4 linked regions of the Notamacropus eugenii genome follow. The protein of the gene in region 2 interacts with the protein of the main gene of each other region in a pairwise test. Links are inferred from orthologs where the notes say so. Each region holds a gene or a part of one and is shown on either strand. Other genes may lie near its edges. The genes, in order: CHIC2, CDR2, C5H1orf216 and KANSL1.

What was found.
Region 1: the proteins of CDR2 (region 2) and CHIC2 interact in binary tests that used the Homo sapiens proteins (3 or more experiments, as listed by UniProt). The link is inferred for Notamacropus eugenii from reciprocal best matches to the Homo sapiens genes CDR2 and CHIC2.
Region 3: the proteins of CDR2 (region 2) and C5H1orf216 interact in binary tests that used the Homo sapiens proteins (3 or more experiments, as listed by UniProt). The two-hybrid records come from large-scale screens. The link is inferred for Notamacropus eugenii from reciprocal best matches to the Homo sapiens genes CDR2 and C1orf216.
Region 4: the proteins of CDR2 (region 2) and KANSL1 interact in binary tests that used the Homo sapiens proteins (3 or more experiments, as listed by UniProt). The two-hybrid records come from large-scale screens. The link is inferred for Notamacropus eugenii from reciprocal best matches to the Homo sapiens genes CDR2 and KANSL1.

What each region holds. Positions count from the first base shown.
Region 1 is NC_092877.1:105,529,082-105,536,925, forward strand, and holds the start of CHIC2 (cysteine-rich hydrophobic domain-containing protein 2), read right to left. Parts: upstream 3,008-7,844; 5' UTR 1,513-3,007; coding exon 1,394-1,512; intron 1-1,393.
Region 2 is NC_092874.1:396,564,647-396,571,727, reverse strand, and holds the start of CDR2 (cerebellar degeneration-related protein 2), read right to left. Parts: upstream 3,023-7,081; 5' UTR 2,730-3,022; coding exon 2,651-2,729; intron 1-2,650.
Region 3 is NC_092876.1:83,994,387-84,001,259, forward strand, and holds the start of C5H1orf216 (UPF0500 protein C1orf216 homolog), read right to left. Parts: upstream 3,013-6,873; 5' UTR 2,905-3,012; intron 1-2,904.
Region 4 is NC_092873.1:346,576,051-346,583,528, reverse strand, and holds the start of KANSL1 (KAT8 regulatory NSL complex subunit 1), read right to left. Parts: upstream 3,024-7,478; 5' UTR 3,000-3,023; intron 2,835-2,999; exon of another isoform or gene 2,472-2,834; intron 2,423-2,471; exon of another isoform or gene 2,188-2,422; intron 934-2,187; 5' UTR 794-933; intron 1-793. UniProt on the Homo sapiens protein: Non-catalytic component of the NSL histone acetyltransferase complex, a multiprotein complex that mediates histone H4 acetylation at 'Lys-5'- and 'Lys-8' (H4K5ac and H4K8ac) at transcription start sites and promotes transcription initiation.

The sequences.
Region 1 (7,844 bases), on a different chromosome or scaffold from region 2:
TTAGTTGTCAAGAAGTTGCAATATTAAAGATATGCTGTGATGTGATAGTATTCATTACATATATAATTTGCTATGTTTATTACTTTGGCTGGTGTGCTAGGTAGTTTATTAACAATTAATTGTAGAAAAACATATATTGTAATAGTGCTCCAGGCATGGGGTGTGACAGTTCCCATCCAAGCCCTATACTCTGTAAACTAATAGGTGCCAAAGAAGCCAGAGTATTACATAAGCACATCCAAACAACTAGATAGCCTGCTGATTTATTGAGAAATACTGATTTTTCCTATTAATGACATATCCGAAATCTATTTGGCTAAAAGTAAAAGTCAGCACCCCGTTCACTAGATTACAAAAACTAATAAAAATTGTTTAAAAGTACATTAATCACTAACAGGCACTCATGTAAAAAGCAACTTACAGAGCTAATAAAGATGGCACCTGAATTTCTGATCTGAGAGGACAAGTACTTATATTCATTAACTAAGGGCCTACTGTATGCACTGCGCTTCGTAACGAAACGAATAAAAATACTGTTGCCAGCTGTACGTAACTGTACTTTTCAGAGAAACATTACGAAACTTCCTGCTTCCGGACAGCTCATTATTTGGTTCAAGTATCCACATTCCTTGATTAGTCACAACCTAGAAGACAGGCTTTTTTTTCCCTTAGTGTAGCCTAACGCCTAGATAGACGTTCAACGTTGTTGGCTGGGATTTCATTAAACCTTACAAAGTGAGATTCAAGTATCTCTCAAGAGGAATGGATGGGAGGAGGGAGCCACAGGTACGTATTCTGGAGAATGACAGCAATTTTAACGGTGCTGCATTCCACGTTCGGGTTGATTTTCTTAATTATTTGGAGGCACTCGTGATCTTGTCAGATTTTTAAGCAGCATGCTAATAAAAATCCCGAGCAAGGATTTTAGGATCTGGGGAGGTTTTTCCGAAGAGGAACCTTAGCATACTTCAAGGAACCTAGGCACACCCCTGCGGCCTCGGCTTCCATGAGGGTCTTTACGTCCATTTGCACCCGGCCTGAGCCCCGGGTCAGCGGCACACAAGGAAGACAAGCCAAGGTTAAGGGGAAGAGAGGCCCAGGGGGAGGAAGCGGGGGCAGAGAGGGCCGCTGGCCTCCACACTGGGGTGGAGGGAGCAGGGAGGGGTACGTCAGGAGAAGCCCTCCAAGAGACCGCGGGGCCTGCGGAAAGGGAGAGGAAGGAGAGGGGAGGGAAGGGAGAGACAGACTGAGAGACAGAGACAGAGACCACACGTCCCTGCTCTTCCTGGTCGCCGGCCCAGGCCACAAGGCCCCGGATGGGCGTCGCGGGGAGGGGGCCCCGCCGCTGCCCGCCACCTCCCCGTCCTCTCCCGCACCCTCCTCCGGGCCTTACACGGTGACGTGACCGGAGCCGCGAACCACTACGGGGTCGGGCGAGTACTTCAGCAGCTGCTCCTCCAGGGCCCGCTCCTCGTCCTCCTCCTCCTCGTAGATCTCGTCGAAATCCGCCATGCTGAGGCCTCGCAGGCCCTCCCCCCTCCCCGCCCCGGCCCGAGAGGGGCTGGAGGCCCGGGGCTGGGGCGAGAGAACGGCGGAAGGGTGAGAGGAAAAGTCGCAGCCGCCGGCGCTCGGGGAGGGCCGCTCAGCTCGTTCCGCTCCGTCCCCGGTTCTCCTGGGGGACTACAGGAGGGCAGACGGAGCCCCGGCCGTCACAGCCGCCGCCATTACCGTCGAGCCGTAAAAACACACAATGTCAACATCCGCTCCGCGGCCCACACCTCCACCGGCGCCGCAGCCGCAGCAACTAAGGCAACCACAGCAACAGCGGAGCCACCCGCAGCGGGAGCCGCGGCCTAAGGCATCGCGAGATTTGGCGGACTGGCCGACCCGGGGGACGAGCGAGCGGGGCCGCGTGCGCGTGCGCGTGCGCGCACGCGCGCGCGCGCCGCTCCTCCCGTTCTCGCTCTCCACGTCATCCTTCCCTTTCCTCGGGCGGGCGGCCGGCTCGTTCCTTCTCTCGGGATTCCACCCTCTCTCCTGCTTCCAAGAAGCCCGAACGACTCCTTGGACTCTGCCCTCCTGAGGGGAAGGAGGAGGAAGCGAGCAAAAGGGTGCACCTTGACTTTAGACGTTGGAGGGCGGGGCGGGGAGCCCCCTGGGTCCCCCAAAGCCAGGAGCGAGCAGAAGAACCCGGGGCTGCGTGCGCATCCCGGGGCTCGGATTGCGGGGCTCGTTCCTGATCCTGACGCCGACCGCTGACGTCTCGGACCAAGAGACCTCGTCTACACCGCCGGCTCTCCCATTGGGACAGTCCTGGAAGGTGCCTCCTTGGCAGACGCGGAGGTTCCCCTGGAGGCCCGAGCAGCCTCGCCACGTGCGAGGAGGCGAAGGGCCCCGCAGAGTTTCCCCGCCTCACTTATCCCCACCCATCTGCTGGAGCATCCTCACGTTTGAAGGGTCCACCCCACTCTCCCTTGCCCAGTAGCTCCGCCAAGGAAAAGTGCAAGGTCTAAGTGCAGTTTTAAACTTCCAGAGCTTAACACCGTGTATGAACTCTCCTGACCCATCACTGGTAAAGGTCCAAAAAAAAAAAAATTAACTTTTCAGGAGAAGAGAGTGCAGGACCCGAATCAGGAAGACCTAGTGTCACAAACTGCTTCAGATAATTTACTAGCTGTGTGACTAGCTAGGCAAGCCACTTAACCTGAATGGACCTCAGTTTCTTCAGATGCAAAAAGAAGATGTTGGATTCACTGACTTCCAAGTTCCCCTCTAGTTCTCAATTTATTTTTTTATTTTTTTTTTCAGTTCTCAATTTATGATCCAATAATTCCTTTTTCCCCAAAGCTTCTCTTTCTGACTTCCCTGTTTCTATCCTGTGGCACCACCTTTGATTAATTCTTAGCCATGCTACAAACTCAACTGCCTTTGATTGCTTCCTCTTTTTCCCCTTCTACATTCAATCAGTTGCCAAGTCTTGTGAATTATATATCCATTATATGTATGAAACCATTTATTATGTACCTACTATGTGCCAGGAGATACAAAAAGGAGGCAAAAGATAGTCTATAATGGGGGAGACAACCTGCAAACAACTGTATGGAGAGCAAGTTATATACAGAATCAAGAGGAGATAATAGAAGGAAGGCACTGGGATTAAGAAGTGTTGGCAAAACCTTATAGAGGGTGAGATTTTAGTTGGGACTTCAAAGAAACCAGGGAGGTCAATAGTCAGAATGGAGAAGGGAAAGCATTCCAAGCACTGGGAACAGTCAGAGAAAATGCTCAGATTTGAGAGATGGAGTGTTTTGTTTTTCCAACAGCCAAGAGGTTAGTGTCACTGAATCAGAGTGTATGACAGGGAGCAAAGTGTAAGAAGACTAGAAAGCTAGGGGAAGGCTAGGTTTTAAAGACTTTGAAGGCCTAACGGAGTACTTTGTATTTAATCCAGGAGACAATAGGAAGCCACTGAAGTTTGTTGAGTAGGGGGTGAATATAATGGAACTTTGTGCTTTAGGAAAATCACTTTAGAAGCTGAATAGTGGATGGACTGGAAATGGGAAGAGACTTAGGGTGGACAGAACCACTAAAAAGATATTGGCAGTAATCTAGGTGTGAGTTGATGAGGGTCTGAACTAGATTGGTGGCAGTGTCAAAGAAGAGAGCGTATTTGAGAGATGTTGCAAAGGAGACATAAACAAGCCTTGGCAATAGTTTGGATATTCGGGGTGAGATAGTGAGGGATGAAGGAGGACTCCTAGGTTGTGAGCCTGAGGGACTGGGAGGACGGTGTTGCCTTCTACAGCAATAGGAGAAGGTAGAGAAGAGAGATATGGGGGGTGGGGAATAAGAAGTTCCATTTTGAGTTTAAGATGTCTATTGGACATCCAGTTTGAGATGTCTGAAAGGCAGTTGGAGGTTCAAGACTAGAGGTTAGCAGGGTATTGGCATAGGATTGGTAGATTTGAGAATCATCAGCACAGAGATGATAATGAAATCCATGGGAGCTGATGAGATCACCAGGTGAATGAAATGGCATTAAAGGGAGAAGAGCAGAGAGCCCTGGACAGAACCCTGAGGGACACCTAAGGTTAGAGGGTGTGATCTAGAAGATCAGCAAAGGAGAAGGAGTAATCAGATAGATAGGAGAAGAAGCAGGAGAGAGAAGGGTGTCCCAAAAACCTAGAGAGAACAGATTTGAAGAGAGAGATTGGCAGTATTAAAGGCTACGGAGAGGTCAAGGAGAATGAAGAGTAAGAAAAGGACATTGGATTTAGCGATTAAGAGACTTGGCAACTTCTGAGAGAGCAGTTTTGGTGGAACAACTTGGCAGGAAGTCAGATTGTAAGAGTTTGAGGACCTCTTTTAGATGACCTTTTTGAGGAGTTCAGCTACAAAGAGCAGAAAAGATATGTAGGATGATAGCAGGGAGGGAAGGCTGCATTGAGGGTTTTTTCAAGAAAGAGAAGACATAGGTATATTTGTAAGCAGTAGGAAATGAGCCAATAGAGAGGGAGAGATTGAAAGTAAGTTTTCTTAAGCAGTTTCTCTCATCTCCAGTCTTTTCCAACTCTCTGACAGTCATGATCCTCAGAGCTAAAAGGAACCTCAAAGCATTATCTAGTTCAACCCATACCTGAAGAGATGTCTTCTTCAGCATTCCCAACAAATGGTCACATTCATCTCTGCTCAAATACCTCCAGTGATGGAGTACTCCCTAATTTCCAAGGGAGCTAATTATACTTTGAGATGTTGGGAAGTTTTCCCTTATCAAACCTGTCTCTTTACAACTTCTACCCACTGGTTCTATTTATAACCTCTAGAGTCTTTCAAAATCATTCATCCCTTTGCTGCCAAGTTAATCTTCCTTATACACATATCTCACAATATTCCTTTGCTCAAAACCCTTCAATTGAAGCTAAGGAATGTGCTTTGGAAATCTTGTGTAAGTGTGTGTAATTATTTCCCAATAAAGTCCAAACTTCTTATCTTTAAATTCAGGGATATAACCTGGTGCCTCCTTACCTTCCCAGCTTTATGCTGAGCTATTTTCCACATGTACTCTACATATGAGCTCATATGTAAATCAAATGCTTCCTCCTCCATGAGGCTTTTCCTGATTCTCCTGCTCCTCCACATGGTCACAATGATCTTTTCTATCTTAGACCTCAAATGATACATTTGTACCTTTCTAACTGGTTCATCCAGTTCAACAAACATTTATTTAATGTCCATTCATTCAACCAATATTTATTGCGTACTTACTGTGTAACAGAATACTGTGCTTGCTAAGCTATGTGAGAGATAGAAAGTTTAGTTAAGACACTGTCCCTGTTCCTATAGAGTTCATAACCTGTGAGACAGATCAGGAACAAACACAGATAACTGTAATATACAATGTTATATCATTAGTACATTAGAGAGTTGTGAAACAACGTGTTTTGTGGCGTCCTAGGAGAATTGATGTACCAACACAGATGAAGGAAAATTTGAGGGAAGAAGCACTTGAGTTGGGCTTTAAAGGAGGAATAGAAATTCAACAGACCTAGAGGAGAGGGGAATGACATTCCAGGCATAGGAAAAGCCTGAATAAAGGGGCTGAAGCTGAACACCATGCAGATTTGAGGGGGATGTGCGTTGTCCAGTCTGAAATGAATATAGAGTTCACTGAGGGAGTACTATGAGAAGACTGGAAATATTGGGTGAGGTCAGACAGGCAAAGGAGTGGAAATTCTAATGAATATGGCTATTGAATGGATGCTGATAAATGCCTGAATTAAGGAGGTGGCAATGGAAAGAGAAAGGAGGGGATGGATATGGAATATATGAAGGTAGGAGAGAGGACTCAGTAACATCCTGAATATCTTAGGTGAAGAGAAAGGAAACGTCAAAGATAACTCCATGGTACTCAGAACAGAGTACTGTGCCCAGTCCTGGTACATAAAAATGAAAAAGAAACTCTAATCTGCAATATAATTATTTAAACATGTGTTGCATTTCCTTCATCCAAATAGACTGTAAGCTGTTTGAAGAAGGGATCTTAACTAGTTTAGCCTTGTTACTTCTCTCTATCAAAGCAGGACAGTGCTTTGCAGTTAATAAATTGTTCAGTTGAATTGGATTTAGATAATCCAATCCTTTTATTGTGACTGTAACATGGTAGGCAATCCCGGTTTTAATACTGTAGGGAGTTAGTACAGGACCCCAGCCATTAAGAATAAGAAGTGTTCTATAAGTCACTTATCCTTCCTTCTCCCTGGAATGTAAAATGCCATCCCATTCCTTTTCCCCTTGTAGGGCAAGGAGCTAGCAGTTACCCAGGGGAGATGGTGAGGAGAAAGACAAGAAGTACCTAGTATGTTCTCATGCTAAAGAATTACTTTTCTTGTAGAAATAATATTATAAACAATATTACATTGCAAATCTATCAAATTATGCCAGGACAACCACAAATATTGTGTTTAACCCATTATGTTGAACTATAAGAAGAACTTACCATTTCAGCTATATTATGGATAAATGAAAATTTAAATGGGCAGAGCTAAAAACCTGACTACCATTTGTAGGTCTCTATCTTCAAGGAATTTATAATCAAGTGGGATGGGGATATTACATTCTACAATAACTAGAATACAGGTAACAAAATGAGTTCTCCAGGAGAACCAGTCCCTAATTCATACCCCTCTACCAAGGAATGACTTCCAACATTACTACCAAGTGCCTGGTTCGGAGAGGCATTACCTTCTTTGACTTCATATATTCTAGCTTTCAATCCACATTTATAGCCTACAAAATTAGAATTGTAGAATATCAAATTTCATCTGATTTCTCTCAACAAATCTCTGGCTAAATAGAGAGGTAGTAGCAGAAACAAAGATGTTGGAAATGCCATTATCATAATTATCATCATCATCATCATAGCTAGCATTTGGTTATGTAAGGTTTGTGAAGTGTTTTACAATTATCTCATTTTATGTAAGTCATCTGAAACCATCATGTTTCTCTTTTAAAAAAATCATATCTCACTTTGCAGCAAAATTTGCAAGCAGTAAGTACTGAGTAGTTTCACTATGGAATTCCCTTGTAGTCTTTTCACCCCCTCCAAGCATCTAGTGCCTCTTAAGAGCATCTCAGTGGCTGTGTCTATCTGTGAGTTTGTGGCAGATGTGTCTGCAACCCTGGACTACAAGACTGAGGAAGCACATCCTGTGGAAGCATTCTTTGTGTTCTGCATGGATAAAGATTCTGCTGTTTATAGCTTCCAGGCTCTGGTGGATGTGAAGAGTATAGTTGCAGAAATACAAGAGAATCAGCAGGCCCAGGAGAATTATAAGAATGCCATCTCCCAAGGTCAGCAAGCCTTCCTTCTGGAGCAGGATAGCAGCTCTGGTGACATCTTCAGCTACAATCTAGGAAATCTGCCCCCTGACCAGAAGACTGTTGTCACTCTGAGCTATGTTTAGGAACTGTCCCTGGAGGCAGATGTGGCTGTTCAATTTGTCCTGTCAACCATATTGAATCTACACTATCTCCTGACAGAGTCAGCTGAGGCTGACGTCACCTTTCAAATCCCTTGGGTTCCTGACAAGGAGCTGTCCTACATATTTAGTGTCAGTGCCAATATCTACTCTCCCAATGGCATTAAAAAGATCCAGTCCAACTGTCCTCTGAGTCCTCTGCAGTACTTGGAAGATGACAAGATGGTTACCCAGGTTTCCTTGGCTTAAGGGCATCAGTTTGATCGAGATGTTGAGATTTTGGTTTACTGCAGGAAAGTGAACACACCCAGTGACTCTGTGGAACTGACCCAGGCTGATGCCAAACCAAGTTCCCAGATGGGAGAT
Region 2 (7,081 bases):
TCCTTTGACTCTAAATTCAGCTTTCCTTTCAGATTACTCTCCTATCTCCATTATATGTGGATACTTCATTAATTCTAAAGAACATATCTGAGTAATAAATGGCCTAATACATAGAGGGAAACCTGCAATATAAACTCAGTGCTGTATTAAAACAGTAAACTTGGGTAACTATAGAAAATACTATTTTACAATAGTCAACTAGTTTGGATTACATAGACAATGTAAGGCTTGACTACTTTGGTCATATGATTTTTGAAGGCAAATTAGTTTGGAAAAAACTATCCTAAAGAACAGATACATACTGTTTTCTCTAACTCTAAAAAGGCTACAAGTCATTAAGCACATATTCCTTGAAGAGGAAGCTTAGTGTTCTAATGCCTTTCATTAATCTCATTTGGAATTTAAAGGGCAAATTAATTCTCAGCCCTTTAAGCTGTAAAATGTGCCTACTCACAGCAATGTTAAAAGTGATCTATACTTTTAAAAAAAATCAGACCTATGATTTCATTGATGTAAGCAACTCCCTTTATCATAAAGAACAGGCACCTGCTCTACAACTTAGTCTTAGAGAGTTACTTGGGACATTAAGAGGTTAAATGACTTGCTTAAGGTCTAAAAACCAGTATATTTCTGACCAAGTCCTAAACCCACATCTTCCTGACTCTGAGGCTGGCTGTTTTCTACCCACTCACTATGCCACACTGCCACTGTATATTCTATTTCATAAAAATTACTGACTATAAAGACTAGATAGGTGAAATTGACTTAGATCTTTGGAGAATGTTGTGGGCGTGGAAAAGGGTTTTGTTGGTTTCAAACCCTCATTAAATTTTGTACTCACTTCTACAAATAAAAATCAAGATACCTGCTTAAAGTTAACCTAAATGTGGGCATTGTTCATAGTTTAAACAAAGACTTGCTTAAAATGTGGAAAGGCTACGTAGTTCAAGCGTGCAAGAATCCCTGGGATCTGTTCAATATGCTAAAAATGAGCCAGTGAACCCGATGTGTAAGCAGATCAGAAAGTGTTTATTTTGGGATGAATTAAAGCCAATTGAGAAATCCACCTCAAGCAAGCACTGGTACTGGGGTGCAAAGGAGCTTTCGGAGGACAAGCAATAGGTAGGGTGGTACGTACTCAGGCGTTACAATTCGGCAAGGGTAAATTATGCACAAACGACGTTTAATTGTTTAACGCAAGCGAAGCAGCAGCAACCAAGTGACGGGACCGATAAGTCTCGGCAACCTCCCTTTTTCACTCCGATCATCCCCATCCCCGCTCACCCCAGTTCACCTGGACTCAGCAAGATAACCAAGAGGGCAGTGCACAATCGAGAAGCTGGAGCAGCAGCATCCCAGCCCGTAGCCACAGACCTAGTCTATACCGCAGAAAAGGGGAGGGGCGGGAAAGGGAGAATCATCTCAGGGCTGGCACACTGGCCGAGAAGAAGCCAGGCAGGACACCTGCTCAGGGATGGGCTTCTCCCTCCCTCCCACCTCTTTCCTTCTCCAACACCACCACCTCCTTTCTCTCTTGGTCCCACCACCTCCTTTCTTTCTTGGTCCCACCACCTCCTTTCTTTCTTGGTCCCACCACCTCCTTTTTTACCAGGTCCCACCACCTCCTTTTTTACCAGGTCCCACCACCTCCTTTCTTTCTTGGTCCCACCACCTCCTTTCTTTCTTGGTCCCACCACCTCCTTTTTTCCCAGGTCCCACCACCTCCTTTCTTCCTTGGTCCCACCACCTCCTTTCTTTCTTGGTCCCATCACCTCCCTTTTTCCCAGGTCCCACCACCTCCTTTCTTCCTTGGTTCCACCACCTCCTTTCTTCCTTTGGTCCCATCACCTCCTTTCCCTCCTTTTTCCCCAGGTCCCATCACCTCCCTTTTTCCCAGGTCCCACCACCTCCCTTTTCCCCAGGTCCCACCACCTCCCTTTTTCCCAGGTCCCACCACCTCCCTTTTCCCCAGGTCCCACCACCTCCTTTTTCCCCAGGTCCCAACCACCTCCCTTTTTCCCAGGTCCCACCACCTCCTTTCTTCCTTTGGTCCCACCACCTCCTTTCTTCCTTTGGTCCCACCACCTCCTTTCTTCCCAGGTCCCACCACCACTTTTCTTCCTTTGGTCCCACCACCTCCTTTACCCTTGTTCCACCCCCCTTTTTTCCTAGGTCCCACCACCTCCTTTCTTCCCAGGTCCCACCACCTCCTTTCTTCCTTTGGTCCCCCCATCTCCTTTTCCCTTGGTCCTACCACCTCCTTTCTTCCTTGGTCCCACCACCTCCTTTCTTCCCAGGTCCCACCACCTCCTTTACCCTTGTTCCACCCCCCTTTTTTCCTAGGTCCCACCACCTCCTTTCTTCCTTTGGTCCCCCCATCTCCTTTTCCCTTGGTCCCACCACCTCCTTTTTTCCTAGGTCCCACCACCTCCTTTCTTCCCAGGTCCCACCACCTCCTTTCTTCCCAGGTCCCACCACCTCCTTTCTTCTCCAGTCCCACCACCACCCTTCTTCTCCAGTCCCACCACCACCCTTCTTCCCCAGTCCCACCCAAGGCTCCTCACCCTCCAATCCGCCTCGCAATTACAGAGCGGGGTAAGGCTTGCCCCCGAGCGCCCGGAGGACCTGGGGGTGGGGGCTGCCCGCTCACCTTGATGCAGGTCCTGCTGATCGTACCACGGCTCGTCCTCCTTCATCTCAAACTCCTCCACCAGGTTTTCCGCCAACATCGCGGCGGGGTATCACAGAGGCAGCCTCGGTCCCGCCGCCGCCCCGGCCGCAGCCCGGGTCTTTGCCGACGCCCACACCGCCGCGGAGCTCTGACCACCAGCGGGCTCCGGCACTGCTAGGATTCCCGGCCGAGGGACAACGTCCAGCCCCGTGCCGTGCCCCCGCGGCAGCCCGGAGCCGGCTCTCCCCGGCCCGCGGCCCCAAACGTGGCACTTTGCAAAAGTCGCCCTCCCCAACCAGGGAGCGATTCAAAACCCAGGCCGCGCTCCCACCAATCCCAGGCCGCCGCCCTGACGAGGGGCGGGCGCTCTCGCCAATCACGCCCTCTGGGCAGATCCGATTCGTCTTGGCTCCCGGGGAACCGACCAATAGAGACCCTGAAGAAAACCAAGGAGGCGGAGAAAGAGTAAAGAGGCGCTGAAAAGCTAGTCCAACCACGCCCCGCGCCCGCTCACGGGGAGAGAGGCGCACGCGCAGTCCACGTCTCCCCACCGGGCTTCGCTCTCTGGGGCACACCCCGCACCAGTCCGGGAGCGAGTCTGCGCGGCGGCGGAGGAAACGAAGGAGGAGAAAGAGGTACGTATGTAGTGACCGAGGCCGGTGCTGAGCGTAGGCCGAGGCCGGGAGGGCGGGGCCCCGGGCGGCGGAGGGTGGGAGAGTGGGGGGTGCGGTGACGCACGGGGAGGCTGTCCCCTGGGGCGCACTGACGTCACCTTGGGCTGAGGATGAGAGGAGGATGAGGGGCGTGAGGTCAGGCCCGGCGGGGCGAGGCGCGGAGCCCCGGCTCTGGAGTCCGAGGACCTGGGTTCAGATCCCGCCGTGTAACCAGTGACGGGCTTGGGGTAGGTGGACCAGCGGGACCGTCATTGTACGAGGCTGGGGTGAGGAAGGGGAGTCGGAGGAGGGGAGGGGGGCGCAGCATAAGCCGGTGGGTTGGTCGGATGTGGAGGATCTAGATCAAGGGCGCAGGTTCTCATCCGGTGCCTGAAATCACCTGTGTGACCTTGGACAAGTCACTTCCCCCCGGGCCTCAGTTTCCTCAGCTGTCAAGGGAGGAGGCTCCACTGGATGTCTTCTGAGGGCCCTTCCACCTGTAGGTAGAAGATTCCTATGAGGATGAAGTGCGGTGTGTGGAGCACAGAGGGTTGGGGGAGGGATGACTTGTTGACTGACAGATGGTGTGCAGTGTAAGTGGAGGGAGGGGAGGAGCTAAGGAGTCACCTGGGGCACCTTGGGGAGAGCGGGGCTCACCTGCTCCTATGGATTTGACAGGTGGAGATGCTACTGAATCGCAGTTCTCTTGTCAAAACCCAGATCTTTAGAGTACAGAGCTGGAAGGGACCTCATTTTACACATTAGGAAACTGAGGGGAAAAGAAAAAGAGGCCAGGAGAAGTTACTGTGATTTGTCCATGGCCATACAGGTAACCCCAACCCCTCACTCTTTTCACAAAGCCACTCCACTTCCCCTGCTGACTCTTAGACTTGAGGATCTGGCAGAAGCCACTCCGCTCATCCCATCCATCCTCAGCCAGCCAGGAGTAAGCTGGTCATGATCAAATGTTAAGGATGCTATTAAGGGTCTATGTAACCTGTATTACAGCATCTTCGCCTGCTTTAGGAATAAGCAGTTATTAATGGTGCTGGAAAAAAGTCTGTTCCCCTGAATAGGGACTGTTGCACCTAAAAGTTTTACTATTAAAACTTCATTTAAGGAAAAATGAAGATGCTCCTAGGTACATTAAATTTTAAGCTATTATTGGTTATTCACACTTTAATCTGTTTATGTTTTAGACTGTTTTCTGAGAGGATTTTGATAGTAATATAAAAGCACCTTAGCTAAAGGAGAAAAGCTTCCATTGAGTAAAGAACTTTTTCTACTTAATGATTTTTACTAGGTCTTACCCTGAGTGGCCCACTGGATTCTCTAAATTTAGAAAACCATTTAGAACCATTCCAACTCACCCATAGGATTTATAGTTTAAAGCAGGGGTGAGAAACGTGCACACATGTAGCCTTCTAGGTCCTTGGGTGCAGCCTTTTGACTGGGTCCAAGTTTTACAGAACAAATCCTTTTATTAAGGGGATTTGTACTGTGAAGTTTGGATTCAGTCAAAGGGATGAATTGGAGGACCTAGAAGGCCGCATGAGGCCCCGAGACTGAAGGTTCCCCAACCCTGGTTTAAAGAGACCTTAGATGAAAGTGTATTTAATAAGAATGTATGTGTAGAACTTATATAAGATTGCACGCCATCTCCGGGAGGGAGGGAAGAGGGAGGGGGAAAAAATCTAAAATATATGGAAGTGATTGTAGAAAACTGAAAACAAATTAATTAATTAAAAAAAGAGACCTTAGAGATCATCTAATCCAGGAGTTCCTAACTTTTTTTTTTAATTTTTGCCCCCTCTTTGATAGTAATGAAGCCTCTGGAACCCTTCTCAGAATAATGTTTTTAAATACATAAAATTAAATAGGATTACCAAGGAAACCGATTATACTGAAATTGTTGCAGTTCAGTTTGTGTCCAACTCTTTATGACTCTACTTGGGAGATTTTCTTGGCAAAGATACTAGAATGGTTTGTTATTTTCCAGCCTATTTTATAGATGAGGAAATTGAGGCAAACAAGGTTAAGTGACTTGTCCAGGGTCACACAGCTGTTAAGTGTCTGAGGCTGGATTTGAACTCAGGTCTTCTTGATATTGAAATACAGTTATCAAATATTAAAGAAGCAAATTCATGGACCCCAGGTTAAGGACCTCTGAAGTTCAATACCCCTCTGCTTCCCCACTATACAAAAAAGAAAACCAAGGGCTCAAGAGATAGTTTCTTACTCAACCTTACAGTTAAGTAGCAAAGCCAGGCTTATATTGGTCATTAAATAGGCTGTTGCCAGTGAACTGTAATACAGATGTAGGGAGATAAAAGTAACTGATTAAAGCAGATTTCTCGTAGCCTAAATCCTATGATACTAGTCATACCTGGGTATATGTAAAGATTTTAATGTGACATAGCACACACAATAATAGCTCCCAGTTAGCATTACCATTACTGTAGATTCCTAAAGAATTGTCCCATCCCCACCCCTCCAATCTTATCAGGTAGTTTTCATTTGGCCCTAAAGTTGAGATCAGGTGTTTTCCAGTTAATACATTTGAACCTCTGCTAGAAGTTTGGAAACTGATGATAACACTGGAATGTTAGGAATCATGGGGATAATTGAAATCCGCAAATTTATTTTAGCTACCACATGCCTCCCTCTTAAATTTTTACCAGAGCAGAGCAGCTAAAATAAAAATTTGCTGATATGTATCACATCTTCCCGCTCCTCTGTAGCAAAAAAGGTCTGATGAAGGTGCTGATAACCATTACTGATAACCAGTGTTCCCAGGGCCTGATTTTGGCACTGACAGTAGGTTACTTTTCAGTGGTACTGAGCAGGACAATTATTGACTGAAATTTTACTGTTAAACCTCATGTATGGCTAAGCTAATTCAGAAATTCCTCCAGGTCTTCAGAGATCCAGAAGGAATAAGCAAATTCTGGATATGATAAGCTCCACCAGTAGTAAATATTTATCAGACTAACTCTAGTACATTTTTCTTCCCATATTTATTAGAAACATAAATTTCTATTTTAAAAAAAGAATAGCAAATCTCCTGCCTCCAGGCCCTGACATTTATGAAAGAAAAAATTTACTGATCTTCCAGTTTTTATTGTGTTGGTAAAGGATCTCTCTGCTGCACACTTACCTTAGTTGGCAGTATTCAGGCGGAAACAAACCGTGGCCAAAAATAAAAAAGGCGCTTTAAATTTAAAAATAGATACCACTATCTTTGGAGCAGAGATGACTGGATTTATAATTTGTTAATTATGGTTTATGGAAATTGAAGGAGCACTAAGGTATCCAAGACTTAAGTTCATCTTCTATATCTGTGGTTCTCAAACCTTTTGGTCTTAGCACTCCTTTACACTCTTAAAAATTATTGAGGATCCTTTTATACTTTTAAAAGAGACAACTAGGTGGTGCAAAAGATGGAGCACTGGACTTGCAATCAGGAAGCTTCATGAATTCAGATCTGACCTCTGATACTTAGTAGCTCTCTGACCCTAGGCAGGTCATTTAATTCTGTTTTCCTCTGTTCCTCATCTGTAAAATGAGCTGGAGAAGGAAATGGCAAACCACTCCAGCATCTTTGCCAAGAAAACCCCAAATAGGGTCACGAAGAATCAGATACGACTAGAACAACTGAACAACAGAAAAATTATACTTTTAAAAACTAGTGAGGACTCCTTTCTGCTGTTAAAAATTATTGCGGATCCCAAGAGCTTTTGTTTATATGGGTTATATG
Region 3 (6,873 bases), on a different chromosome or scaffold from region 2:
ACATATAATTGGGGGAATAAGATACATATATTTAAAAAAAGAAATGGTGAGCTGGTTGATTTTAGAAAAAAAAAAACATGGAAAGACTTATATGAAATAATGAAGTGCACAGAACCAAGAGATTATATACGGTAACAGCAATATTGCTTGAAGAATAATTGTGAACAATTAAGTTACTGAGTACTATAAATACTCAGATTAGCTATAAAGGATCTATGAAAAAAGATGGCATCCACCTCCAGTGAAAGAACTGATAAACAGAGGGAAGCATAGTATGGAAATCTGTGTCAAATGGTGGCATTCTCTAGTGCAGGATGCGGAGGAAGATAATTTGGAACTTAAAATGTGAAGGGGGAGGGGGAGGAGGAGGAGGAGAAGAAGAAGAAGAGGAGGAGGAGAAGAAGAAGAGGAGGAGGAGGAGAAGGAAGAGGAGGAGAAGGAGAAGAAGGAGAATGAGAAGAAAAGAAAGAAGAGGAGGAGGAGAAGGAGAAGGAGAGGGAGGGAGGGAAGAAGGGAAGGAAGGACAGAAGAAAGGGAGGAAAATGGAGTTGTCCAGAAGTAGAAAAGCTGCCTGCCTGAGGGAGGGGTAGTTCCTCTCTCTTTGAAGGTCTTCAGACACTTCCCAGAGATCATTTGGCCCATAAGTTAAATGGCGAATTCCTTTTGTGTATGGGTTGGACTATCTGGCTACAGGCATTCCCTACCAACCTTCTGATTTTGTGATTCTATGACTGTATGTTCACAACTGCCAAAATGATATTCCTTTAGTACAGGACTGCTCATCACTCTCCTGTTCAAGAATTTGCAGTGTCTCCCATCTTCCTCTAGGATAAAATACAAATTCCTTTGTTTCTCAAATTCTTCACAATCTGGCTCTGACTGATCTTTCCAGACCTATTGCACATTCTTCTTCTTCATTCACTCTAAGTTCCAGTAGAATACTTGCTTTTCCCTGAACACATTTCCTCTCCTGTCCCCATATCTTTGCACAAGCTGTCTCTCAGTCCTGGAATGCTCTTGTTCCTCACTGCTGCTTCTTGAAATTCCCAGATCCCTTCAAGGTTCAATTCAAGAGCTACCTTGTTTAGAAGGCATTTCTGGATACCTCCAGTTTCTACTCCTCCCCCAACCCTGTGTCCTTTTTAATAATGCATTCTATATTTTCTTCTTGATGAATATATTTTGTATACTATGTATCCTTGATTTACTTATCAGTACACATTTTTATATCTTGACTTATTGGTGTGCATTTTTGACAAATATTTCTTCTTATTGGTGTGCATGAGTCCCTCTTCTCTGCTCCCACCTCCTACCCTCAAAGCCTTTGATGCCAAAACCTATCTCATTTTTGTATTTGCATTTCCAGAGTTTGGCACAATGCCTAGCACATAATATGTGCTTAATAAATACTTGTTAGTTGATTGACAGATTGACTGATTATCAGATAGATTGGGACACTGAGGTATTGAGCAGAAAGGCCCTGAATAGCTGAGTTGACTCCTCCTGGCTTCCACATTAGGAGGTCCTTTCTATCCCTGTCTTCTGTTGCTATGGTGCCCATTATACCTAGCTCTGTCTGTCCTCTCTCTCCTCTGCTCTGATCAGCCATTACCCTCCCTGTGAATACTTTCAATGGGCAGAGATTAGAACAAATGTATTTGTCCAAGTGTAGGCTTGAACTCACAGAGAAGGTGTCATCATCAACTATATACATTTTGTGTATTGGCAAACCAAGGCTTACAGAAGATAAGAAATTATCCTGCCAGGCAGCCTAACAAGGCGGGGGCAGTGATCAGAGGACGACAGGGGGAAGGATAAAGAAAGGCGAATGGTCATCACAAGGTGTAGGGAGGGAGGATGGGATAAAATATTGTTTATGGAGCTGTGTTTTAATGGTCTTCAAATCACCAGGTATGGTGGCTATGAGGTATATGTACGTACAGTATGCATTTGGGGCTGCGTATATGTATATGTACGTACAGTATGCATTTGGGGCTGCATATATGTATATGTACGTACAGTATGCATTTGGGGCTGCGTATATGTATATGTACGTACAGTATGCATTTGGGGCTGTATATATGTATATGTATGTACAGTATGCATTTGGGGTTGCGTATATGTATATGTACGTCGCGTATATGTGGTTTATGCATGCCCATGCATGCAGGTTGTGTACATGTGTGTGTTGCATATTATATGTATACATACATTTTTCTGTATGTACCTGGGTAGTGTAGCTGTGTGCCCATGTATGTACAGCGTAAAGCATGTGTAATATGTATGTATGGTACCTGTGTGCAGGTTCAACTGATGAGAGATATGGAAATGAGTGCTAATCAGTCATTTGGTATTCACTAAGGACAAAAACTAGCCTGGCAGGACTGGCAATTCCTTAGGCCCTGCCCCCAGAGGGTCTCTGGCACACAGGTCCACCTCCAAGACCTTGCGCAGAAGCCAGGCCCAGAGTGGTGGAGGATCCTGAGGCTGGTAGGGAGGGGAGAGAATTGTGAGGAGAGCAGGGCTCTAGGGTCAGTCAGCGCCCTCACATACACCCCATCCTTGTGGAGTACAGGCAAAGCCGGAGCATCCTTAACCCCATCCTCATTTTCCTGTTCCCCTCTTCTTCCCCATGGGCCTCCCGCAAGCCCCGCCTCCACTCCCCATTCCCAGCCACTGCTCTGGCGGGGGTGGGGGATGCTGCAGGAGACGCTCCTCCTTCCTCTTCACCCTTACCCACCCCCCCACCCCCACTCCCCACCCACAGCCCTGGGAGGCCAGAGATGAGTCTCTCCCCTAACATGGGCCACTGCGGTGTCCCCCCCGCGCCCTTTATAGAGCCCCAGCCCCCGGAGTTTCTCCCCTCAAAACAAAACGACCACCCTGCCCACAGCCCAGACTCACAGCCCAGAGGTGCCCAGGCCCACCCGACTCGGGCTTCAGCTCCTCTCCGGCTCCAGCCGCAGGAAAGCGTCACTGAGTCACTGGCCTGGCAAGGAGTGCGGAAAAGGGAGGGGCGGAGCCCCGGCTGCAGCGGAGGCTGCACACACACACACACACACACACACACACACACACACACACACACTCCCAGACACACAGGAAAACGCAGAGACACACACTCGGGAATACATACAGGCACACTCAGAGGCACACACTCAGGCACACGCAGGCACAGATTTGGGCAAGACAGGCACGCACAAATTCAGGCACACTAAGACACAAACATACGCACAGAACACACTTGCTGGGAGAGGTAGGGGACATGAGAGGGGAAGTAAAGCCATCCTCCCACAAAGGAAAGATTCTTGGGAGAAGGATACAGACAGCAAAAAATCCTTTTTTTTTTGCCAAGCAAGGAGAGGTTCACACACACACACACACACACACACACACACATATCTGTATACTCCTATGTACAGACCCATGAATAAATTCTTTTCTGTGTTTTAGGAGCATAATACTGAAAGCTTCTGTGCGGAGCAGATGATCTGTAAGCACCCTTCCACTTCTAGAAACGCTATGACCTTTACAGTGGAAATGACAGAATGATGTATGCTGGCAATTCAGGCAAGTACACTTAACATGTACTCATGTCTGTGTACTCATTTGCAGATATGTCCAGGAACAAGCTTACATGTGTAGGTATGCCTGTACATGTACTCCATGTAAGTAGGTATGTAAATGTTCTTGTGCAGGTTCTCATTCTCTCTAATTTATTTTTTGTCAATTTACCATGGAAGTTGTTCCATACCTTCTCTTTTCTCCTTATGTCACATAGTACCCTCTCCTCCCATCTTCTCAGCAGAGCGCCTTACCTCGTACCTTACCTGAAAAAATTGAGGCCATTACTTAGAGCTCTCTTTTCTTTCTCTTTTCATCCCATATTTTCATCCTTTACTATCTCCTTTAGTCCATTCACTGAAATAGTCCTCCCCATTGCCAAGGCTAACCCCTCTGTAACCTCTTGATTCCATCCCATCTCTCCCATTTTTTTCCTTCACATTGCCTCTACTATCATCCCTTCTCTTTCATGATTGATCTCTTCCTATGTCCTAGTTCCTTTCCTATTTCCTACAAACATTCAAATCCTCCCCCATCCTTAAAAAACGACAACCCCACCATCCCTGAAACTATTGTCCTGTATCTTTAATCTCTATATCTTTAATCTTTAAACTCTTCGAAAATAATGCATATACATGGAACTACCGTTCTCCTTTCATTCTACTTTTTATGTTAATTTTTATTTTACTTCTTTTCAATTAGTAAATATTTATTCTCTCTCCCTTCTGCCTTCTCCCTCCCCACCCTTAAAGAAAAAGAAAACCCTTGTAACAAATACCGATAATGAAGCAAAACAAATTCCTGCATTGGCCGTGTCCAAAAACACATGTCTCATTCTGCATCTTGAGTCCATCGTCTCCCAGGAGTTGGGTAGCTTGATTCATAATAAGTCCTTTGGAATTGTAAGTGGTCATTGAGTTTCTCAGAATTCTTAAGACTTTCAAAGCTAATTGTTTTTACAATTTTTAAATTATAGACATTGTTCTCCTATTTCTGCACCAGTTCATACAAGTCTTCCCAGGTTTCTCCGAAATCCTCTTTCTTTATTTCTTGCAAAATAATATTCCATTGCATCCAGATACCATAATTTGTTTTTCCATTCCCTAAATGACGAGCACCCACTTAGTTTCTAATTCTTTGCCACTACAAAAAAAGAGCTTCTATAAATAGTTCTGTATGTATGAGTCCTTTTCCTCTTTCTGAGGAGGAGTATAGTTGGGTCAAAGGCTATGCACAGTTCAATGATGTTTTGAACATAATTCCATATTACTTTTCAGAATCAATCAACACTGAAATCCATGCTCGAGCTGAACTGCCAAGCATTCAGACTATGCTTCAGAGAACACAACTCCGATGGTCTGGCCACGTCGTTCAAATGCAAAATGTATGCTTGCCAAAAAAGGCTAGTTTATGGAGAACTCACATGGGGCAAGTGATCACATGGTGGTCAGAAGAAGAGATGCAAGGACACTCTCAAGGTCTCTCTCAATAACTTTGGACTTGATTGTGCGACATGGGAGACACTGACACGGGACTGCTCAGCATGATGTGCCCACATCAGAAAGGGTGCTGTGATGTATGAGCAAAGCAGAATTGAGATAGCACAAAGTAAACATAGGATGCACAAATTTGGAGTATCCATCCCAAATACTCACATGGACTATCTATATTCAATCTGGAGCAGAACATTCTGAGCTCATATTGGTCTGATCAGCCACAGGCAGACACACTGAAACTTCACTTTATCATGGTGATGTCATTTTGGTCCTCTTCGAAAGCAACAGAGAACAACCAATTGTTGCTCTTTTACCCAGGAACCCTGAGGGTCTTCTCCTCCCAGTTTGATTTTTTTTTTTAATTAAAGGGGCCATCCCTTGAACATGTGCTTAAAGAAGTCTATTCATTGAATGAGTGTATCTCACTCAAAGTGAGAATGCTATAAGACCTTAGTCTGAAAGGGCCAGGGTCTCCCATTGCATCCTGGATCATCTCCAACTGTCCTGATGAATATCAGGTAACTGGATCCAGATGGCATGGGAGAAGAAAGTGAGGTTGGTGACCTTGCACAGCCCTCCCTCACTCAAATCAAAGTCAACTGCAAATCATATCATTATCTTGATGTCATGGTCCTCTTTGAGAGTGAAGGACGAACACACATTTTTTTCCCCCAAAGCCTCTGCAAACCTCATCATTCAATTGAAATCTATTTCTACAAAGTAATTTCTTCTTCTTCTCCTCCACTCCTCCTCCTCCTCCTCCTCATCTTCCTCCTCCTCCTCCTCCTCATCTTCCTCCTCCTCTTCCTTCTCTTTTTGGTGAGACAATCAGGGTTTAATGACTTGCCCACAGTCACACAGCTAGTAAGTATCGGAAGCTGAATTTGAACTCAGGTCCTCCTGACTTCAGGGCCAGGATACACTGAGTTGCCTACCTGCCCTATGACCACTTCTTAATGACCAAATCTAATGATATCTTCTCATTATTCCTCCTCCTTAACCTATCTACATTTTACACTGTCAACCACTCATTCTCTAGGTTACTTTCTGAGTTTTCATGCTATTGCTCTTTTCTGGTTCTCCTCCTACTAGTGTGATCTGTCCTCAGTCTCCTTTGCTGGCATGACATCTATATCACAGCCCTTTAAGTATGGGTGGACCTCAAGGTTCTGTTCCCAGTCCTCTTCTTTATATTCTTTTTTTGGAGATGTCATCAGTGCCCATGGGTTCAATGATCATGTCTTTGTTCATGAATCCAAGATCAATATACCCAGCCCAAGCCTCTTTCTTGAATTTCAGCCTTTCGTCATCAACTGCCCATTGGACATGTAGAAATGAATATTCTTGGGGTATCTCAGACTCAGCATGTGCAAAAACGAATTCGTATTTCCTCCTAAATTCTCTCCTCTACCAAACTTGTGGTAGAATTGTGAACTGATCCAACCATTTTGGAGAGCAATCTGGAATTATGCCTAAAGAGATAAAACGGCATAATCTTTGACCCAGCAATGCTACTATTAAATGGTCTGTTTCCAAAGATGATTAGGGGAAAAGAAGAAGAACCTGTATGTTCTAAAATATTTATAGCAACTCTTTGTGGTGGCTAAGACCCGGATATTGTGGGGATGCCCATCAACTGGGGAATTGCTGAACAAGTTGTGATATATGATGGTGATGGAATATTACTGTTCTATAAGAAATAATAACTTCAATAATCTTAGAAAAACATGGATAGACTTGCATGAAATAATGAAGAGTGAAATAAGTAGAATCAAAAGAATGGTGTATACGGTTACAACAATATTATTTTAAG
Region 4 (7,478 bases), on a different chromosome or scaffold from region 2:
TATTTAGTTAGCCCTTCTGGTAGGCATTGAGAAAAAAAAGAGATTGATAGCCTCCCTACTGAGAGCCAGCATACATATATCAGTTTGTTTCTTTATATCAAAGTGAGGGTCAGGCACGCTGATGGCAGCTTTATCACCAGACTTTTATCTCCATTGTTGGGATGGAGTTAAACCAATGACATGTGACTTGGCACAGGATTCCATCTGTACAGCGTTGGGGCATGAAAGCTTTTGTAAAGGACAAAGGAAGAAGGACATCCATAATGACCATTCCTCAGCCAAGCCATACTCAACTCTCTAACAAGGTTATTTCTCCAAAGACCAAAATGGCAACAGAATTTTAACATACTGTAGAAAATTACTGAAAAAACAAGTGGTCCATGACTCTTTTGAGGTCTCTAAGCTACTGATTTTCAACAGTAGTATGAACACTTGTACATATGATGTAACAACTTGGTCATTAAGTTTAAAGGTAGAACTAATTTTTAAATTTTCTAATCCATTCTACCACATTTAAAAAGCAAAACCTGACTATGTAGCTTCTTATGATTTAAATGAAAGAACTGAACACAGAATAATGGAAAATGGTTCCAAAACTGAATAAATATTTTTAACATCCTTGACAAGGGACAATGCAACTAACAATAAATGGTGCTCTCTTCTAGGAAGAAAATGAACTACCTAATATTAATAAGCAAACAGAAAATACCAAGATTAAAACGTATTAGGTCATTCTCTAATTCAAAAGAACATAAATGCCAAAAGCACACAAACTAAGAAAAAAGACCTTTACCTTAACGGGCATCCAAGTAGCATTCATAGTGTCCAGAATAATGCACACAAGATTAAGAAGTAAAAAGAAAATCTTGGTAACTCCTCTGGATCTAACGAGGACCAGCACTTGTAAAAATCTTTACTTTTCAAAAAGGATAGCTGAAACAGAAGATTTTTAAATTAAATACAAATCAACATTATCTGCAAACCCAATAATTTTTAAAAATTAAATCAGTTAAATTTCTTATTTCCTCAAACAGCCATTCATCTCATCAATTTGTTAAAGTACTAATACTCTGCAAGCCCCCTGTGTACATATGTATATACATTATATATGTTTATATTTGTACAAATGAGGATATATGTGATGAAAACAATTCTGGATTTAGAATTTGAAAATCCTGAATTCAAATTTTGACTTTTTAAAACTTCTACTTGTGACCCTGGCCAATAAAGTCACTTAACTTCCCTGGGCCTGTTTTCTCATCTATCAACTGAAGAGAGTTGGTTATCTCAGGAATTTTAACCTGGGATCTACAAACCACCAAGGCATACATGGATAGATATGAGAAGTATATATGAACTCTGATGGGGAAAAAATGTTTTTATTCTCACTAACCTCTAACTGAAATTTAGCATTTCCCTAAATCACTAATATTTTAAAAAATTATTCTAAGAAAGAGTAACAGACTGCCAAATGGGTCCATGACAAAAATAGATTAAGAATCTCTGGGCTAGCTAAATGGTCTCTACAATTCCTTTCTAGCCCAAGCATATACAGAGAGAAGGGGAAGGGGGCAAGTGATGAATCAGAATTCATTATCTGGTAGAGGACTTAAAGTTCATAATTTAGAAACAGAGTTTTTATGTATAAAGACAGTCACAATACTCTTAGGCCCTATGTACTCCAAGTATTTGAAAAATCGGCTGTTTATATTTTTGAATTGTAGATATGCCCTTAATATTTCTAAACAGTCTGAGTAAAATCACCAAACTAACTAGAAAGGGACTTAGTACCTCAATAACAATAAACATCTTTTGATCCTTTTAAACAGTACCCTTTACTTAGTTGATAAAAAATGAAGTTCCAGGATCGATTCTATTTCCAAAACAAACCTACATCTTTTCTAATCTGAGAATGTTTAAGTGAAAGGTAATTACTCTTCTAGATACTTTTCCAAAACCCAGCTGTAGTCAGTCCAGTGTCTGCAATGGGTTTGATTTTGCCTGGTGGCATGAAATGACCACAAGGTTCCCTCAAGTCCGGGGTCCCTGAGCCCAAGGGAAATTCCAATAGGAGGCTAAGAGCTTACAGGAGTTGGTGAGCCCCTCAAAACAAAACAGAATAGCACCCACTACTTAAATTTTTTTCCTTCATGTGGAAAAATAAGAAAATTAAAGGTTTCCACACACACAAATTGACTGTGGGGGTAGAGTTCTTCTGGCCATGCCTTCGTCATCACACCAGCTCCTGAACTTGGCATCACTTCCCATGGCTTGGGCTCATTTCCTTACAGTTCATGGCACTGAGTGGAGGAGGTGGGTCGGGGGCCAGCTCGCGTCCAGGCCTCCTCCTCCCCCATCAGCATCCCCATCCAGAGGCCTGGGGATGGGGCTGGGGGGGAGGGGGGGCCATGCCCACTCCAGCCCTGCTCTCCCCTCCCCTCTTCCAGGTGGTCCCTGGTCCCACACCTCACCTCCACCTTCTTCCAGCCCTCTGTCGGTTCCTCCCCACTACGAAGCCCATTGTTGCGGGAGGACCCCGGGAGGCCCTGGGCGGGGGGGAGGGGGCTACGGCCGTTGGCCTCGGTTTTCCGGGCCCCCCGCAGCCCGGCTTCGGGCCCCGCGCTCGCCTGGGCTCGGCCTGGCGCCCAGGGCTCCTTCGCCGCTCCCCCCCGCCATCCCTGGGGCCGGGCCGGCGGCCGCGGGGGCCTGGGCTCGGGGGCGGCTGCAGGGGGAGTGGGGCGGCGGGTGTGCAACACGCACTCACACGCACTCACACACGCACGCACACATACACACGCGTCCCCTCTCCCCCCCAGCCCAACCCGCTTCCCAGGCCCGCGCCCCTGCGGCCGCCCACCCCCCGGCTTCCCCCGCCCGCCCGGCTCCCCGGACCCCCCTCCCCTCCCTCGACGGCTGCCCCTTCATCTCGCGGGCCCCCAGACCCCCCGCTCCGCCACGGGCACCAGCGCCAACGGCGGCTCCCCCGGCCCCGGACCTACCTGCACGGCTCAACCTAGCCTAGAAGTGGGGGGCGGGGAGTTGTCCGCCCTCCTCCGTCTCTCATTGGCCTACCGAGGTCAGGGCCGGAGCTTCATTGGCTGCGCCCGAGCGTCCGTCAGGGTGGCGGGGCGTGGCGGAAGGGGGGGCGAGTGATGCTGGTGCCCGGGTTCTCTGGTTCTCTCTGTCTCTCGGAGTCTCTGTCTCTGTCTCTGTCCGTGCATTCGGGAAATGTTTGCTCAGAGAGGCCGGGAGGGGCCCGGAGGTGGGAAGAAGGAGATGGAGGGGTCCTGGCAGGGCTTCCAAGAAGCATCCCCAGTCTGGTCCCCTGATCATGCCCCCTCTTCGTTCCCCAGCACCACGTCTCCCCCTCCCACCCTAACGCCCCCCCCCCCCCCCCCATCTCTTGGTTCTAGAGCCGGGCAGCGACATGATGGAAACTAAAGCAGGGAGACCTTATAAAAGGATGTTGCAACAATTCAGCCATAAATCAGTGGGGGGAGGGGGAGAGGAGAAGGGGGGGGTGGACACTGTGGACGTGGTGAGATGACACTGCAGGGCTAGGTAGCAGAAATGTGGCTATATAGACCTACATGATATAGACAGAGATGCAAGGATACAGGAAGGAGAGGTAGGAGAAAGTGGAAGGATGATGGGGCTACTGGCACTGACAGGAAAACTGGGAAGTGCTCCTCCTCTCCCACGCCCTGCCAAGTCCCTGAGACTCTGCAGTATCTCCCATCTCAATCTTCAGACTGCCACCAGCCTCTTACTAATACCGGGCCTCATGACCACCTGCACCTCCTTCTCTCCCTCCTCCCCCTCCAATCCATCCTTCATACCACCGCCACACATGAATCATTGGTATGGGGGGATTTCTATACCCCAAACTCTCCAATGGCACCTATTGACTATGAAATAATATTCAAAACCCTCAGCTTTGTATCTGAGGGTCTCCACAATCTGACACCCACCCCCTACCTTTGAAGCTTTATCTTATACTACTCCACTCCATATGCCCTAAGCTCCAGACAAACTAAACTAGTTAACTCTAATACAACTTCCACATCTATGTTCATGCTCGCTATACATGGAGTGCCCTCTCACTGCCCCCAAAAGAAATCTTACCTATGGCTAAAAGTTCAGTTCAAATACCTCCACCAGGAGACCTTTCCTTATTGCCCCATCCCTAGGATTCCCGCTCCAACCTTACATAGCACATTATACTTTTTACATGCTTGCCACCTTTTCCATCCTCATTTGTTTCCTGGGAGGATCCCCTGTGGCAAACTTTTGGGAACAGATAGACAAGAGCTGCCCAGGGCAGATAAGCATGCTGAGGCTGTGATCAGCATCACTGGAAGGAACTCCCAAATGGATGTACAAATCCATTTGAGTATGGTTAATTGTCTATGTACCATATCCACCTGCTAAAAAGTAGGCTCCATTAGGGTAGGGAACACACCTAAATGGTGTATTTTTACAGTGCCTGATATTTCAGGGAATATTGGTTGAATTGTTATTGAAGCCAAGTCGACTTGGGAGTAAGAAAAGAAACAGGGAACTCAGAAAAGTAAGTTGTAAAAGAAACAGAAAATTGAATTAGAAGGGAGGAGATTTGGTTTGTGTTGGTTTGCTACAAATTAGTTGTGCAACTTTCTTCTTGGGACATCTCTGAACCTAAAGAATTGAAGTAGGAGATAGGAGACCTGAGTTCAGTCCTAGTCCTATGATATCTCCATGTGACCTTGGTCAGGTCACACATCTGGTGACTCTGTTTCCTCAAATGCAATGTTAAAGGGTTGAACTAGATCAGCCCTTTCAGGGTCATGGTATTGTATAAGCTTTTTTTTTAACCTACTCAATTTCAAGTGTCAATGGAAAAGATAAGTAAAGAACTCCTAACTCCAATACTTACTAGCAATATGGCTATGGTCAAGTCAAAGGATCATCATGACCCTCCACTTTCTCATCTGTGAGTATAATTATGTTTGTACTGTGTACCTTGATGAGATGTTGATAGAAAATCTCAAAGTACCACATAAATGTAATTTGTATGTAATGGAATAGTATTATACAGTTTTTGAAAATTGATGAAAATAAGGAATTCAAAGAAAAATGGAAAGATCTATATGCAATGATGCAGAATGAAATAAGCAGAGCAGAGCAATATACAAAATGACAAAAATGTAAATAAAAACATTAAAAGGATGCGAAACTCTGTAGTAAAAATAACCATTCTTGGTATTAGAAACAGATTATAACATATGCCTTCTTCTCCTTACTAGGGAGGCAGGTGACTACAAGGACAGAATGTAACTTATTTTGTCAGGGCATATACAAAAATGACTGATACAAAATAAAAGGTATTTATAATAAGTCTCATTTAAAAAATAATTAACAAAGTGGGTTGTTATAATTTAGAGTTATGGGAAACAGGATTTAGAGCTAGAAGGAAATAGAGATCATTTGTTCTAAGCCAGTCATTTTACAGAACACAAATGCTGGGGTTTTTTTGGAATACTGGAGATAAATTTTTGGCTGAGCAGAGAGGAAATACTCATTGCTGGACTGCACAAGTGCCTCTCCTATGAAGAAACTTCAGTCAATCAATAAATATTTATTAAGCATATGCACTGTTCAAGGGTTAGGGATACAAATTTTAAAAGGAACTTACAATCTAATGAGAAATACAACATACAAAAGAAGATGAAAACAACTTATAAAAGGAGTTCATAGCTCCACCCTCTAATCAAAGGGACAATGGGTGGTGATGAGATAGAGAAGCCAGACTGATGGGATCTTGCAAGATGATGAAGTTTTCCCATTGATGAGCTTCCTGGGTTATGGTGGAAAAGTCAGAGACCCTCCAAAGTCCTGCAGCCAGGAGAGAAATGCCAAAAGAGTTGTACTGAGTTATCCTTCCTATTAAGGAGAAGTTTTAGAATTCATGGCTCCACCTTCCATTCAGAGGAACAGAGGCTGGTGGTGATTTTAGACGGATGACATAGATGTAATCCTGATAAATGGGACCTTTTTTTGTCTTTCTTTGCATCCTTCACTTCCCCCTTCCACTTCCCCCCACCCCCACATTTAGCATAGCACCTAGCACACAGCAAGTACTTAAATTCTTTTTGACTGATAGCTAGAAATAGCACCATGGTGACTCAGTTCTTAAAGAGTTGATACCAGTGAAGTATAAAATATGACACCAAGCTATAGAATTGGGTTTCAAGTATGGTCCCAATTTTAGACTATATATCTATTGTTGACAAATAAGCCTAGCTAAAGTTGCTCATATATGAAAGGAGAGGGTTTGGAATAGACGATCTCTAGGTCTCTTCCACTTCTGACATTATATGTTGTATGATTTTACGATCACAAACTTGATTGTAAGGTGATGAAATTTTCAACCACAAGTAGTCTAAAAGACCCCCCACTAAGTTATAGGCAAGTTATGATCTGATATTGTATAGATGTTATTTGTTTCAATTATTTTTTGTTGACTGAGATTCCCAAATACAGAGAATTTTTGCCTTGTCTTTGCTTACATTGTCATATGAGGATAAAGATTGTTTAGTCTGAAAATGAAAAGATATGAGGGAGACATGATAACTATCCCCTACTACGTGGAAGGGATTAAATTGTTCTATTTAGCCCCCAAGAGGCAAAATCAGTAGTAATGGGTAGAAAAGATCAATTTAGACTTGATATTGGAAAAAATTTCCAAGCAATTAGAGCTGTGCCAATATGAAATAGTCTACTTTGAGAGGAAGGCTCTTCAAGTAGAGGGTGGATGATAGAGAATGATAATAGTTAGCATTTACGTAGAGCTTTAAAGTTTGCAAGGCACTTTACGTGTGTTATCTCATGTCATCTGAATGACACCACTTGTCAGATATGTTTCTATGGAGATGTCTTTAGTATATGAGTTGGATTAGATGCTTATGAGTAAGGGTTTGTTCAACAGAGAGAATACCCACACTGATGAATTTAGAGGTCTTCAAAGTGTGGGTATATTATATTTGCTATTTATTATTAATTTATATTTATTTTCATTGCTATATATTATTTTATCATTATTGATGATGGCATATTGATGATAAAGACAAGAACATACCCCAATGATAGTTTCCTTCTCACATTTTATGTAATTAGAATTCAATTATATGCCATGGAGAACAATGAGAGAAAGTTACTATATTTAACAAAATAGTCATCTCAGCATTCTTTGTGGTAGCAAGAATTTCAAAATAAATCAATTGAGCAATGACCAAATAAATTGTAGCTTATGAATGTAATGGAATATTATTGTGCTATAAGAAACATTGAATATTAGGAATTCAGAGAAATATGGGATGACATTAATTGATGGAGAATAATATAAGCATAACTTAGGAGAAGAATATCAATAACGTAAAAGAAAATAGTATTACTAAGCAGTCACAATGACTTCAAAATGTAAATAACACTAAAAAGCA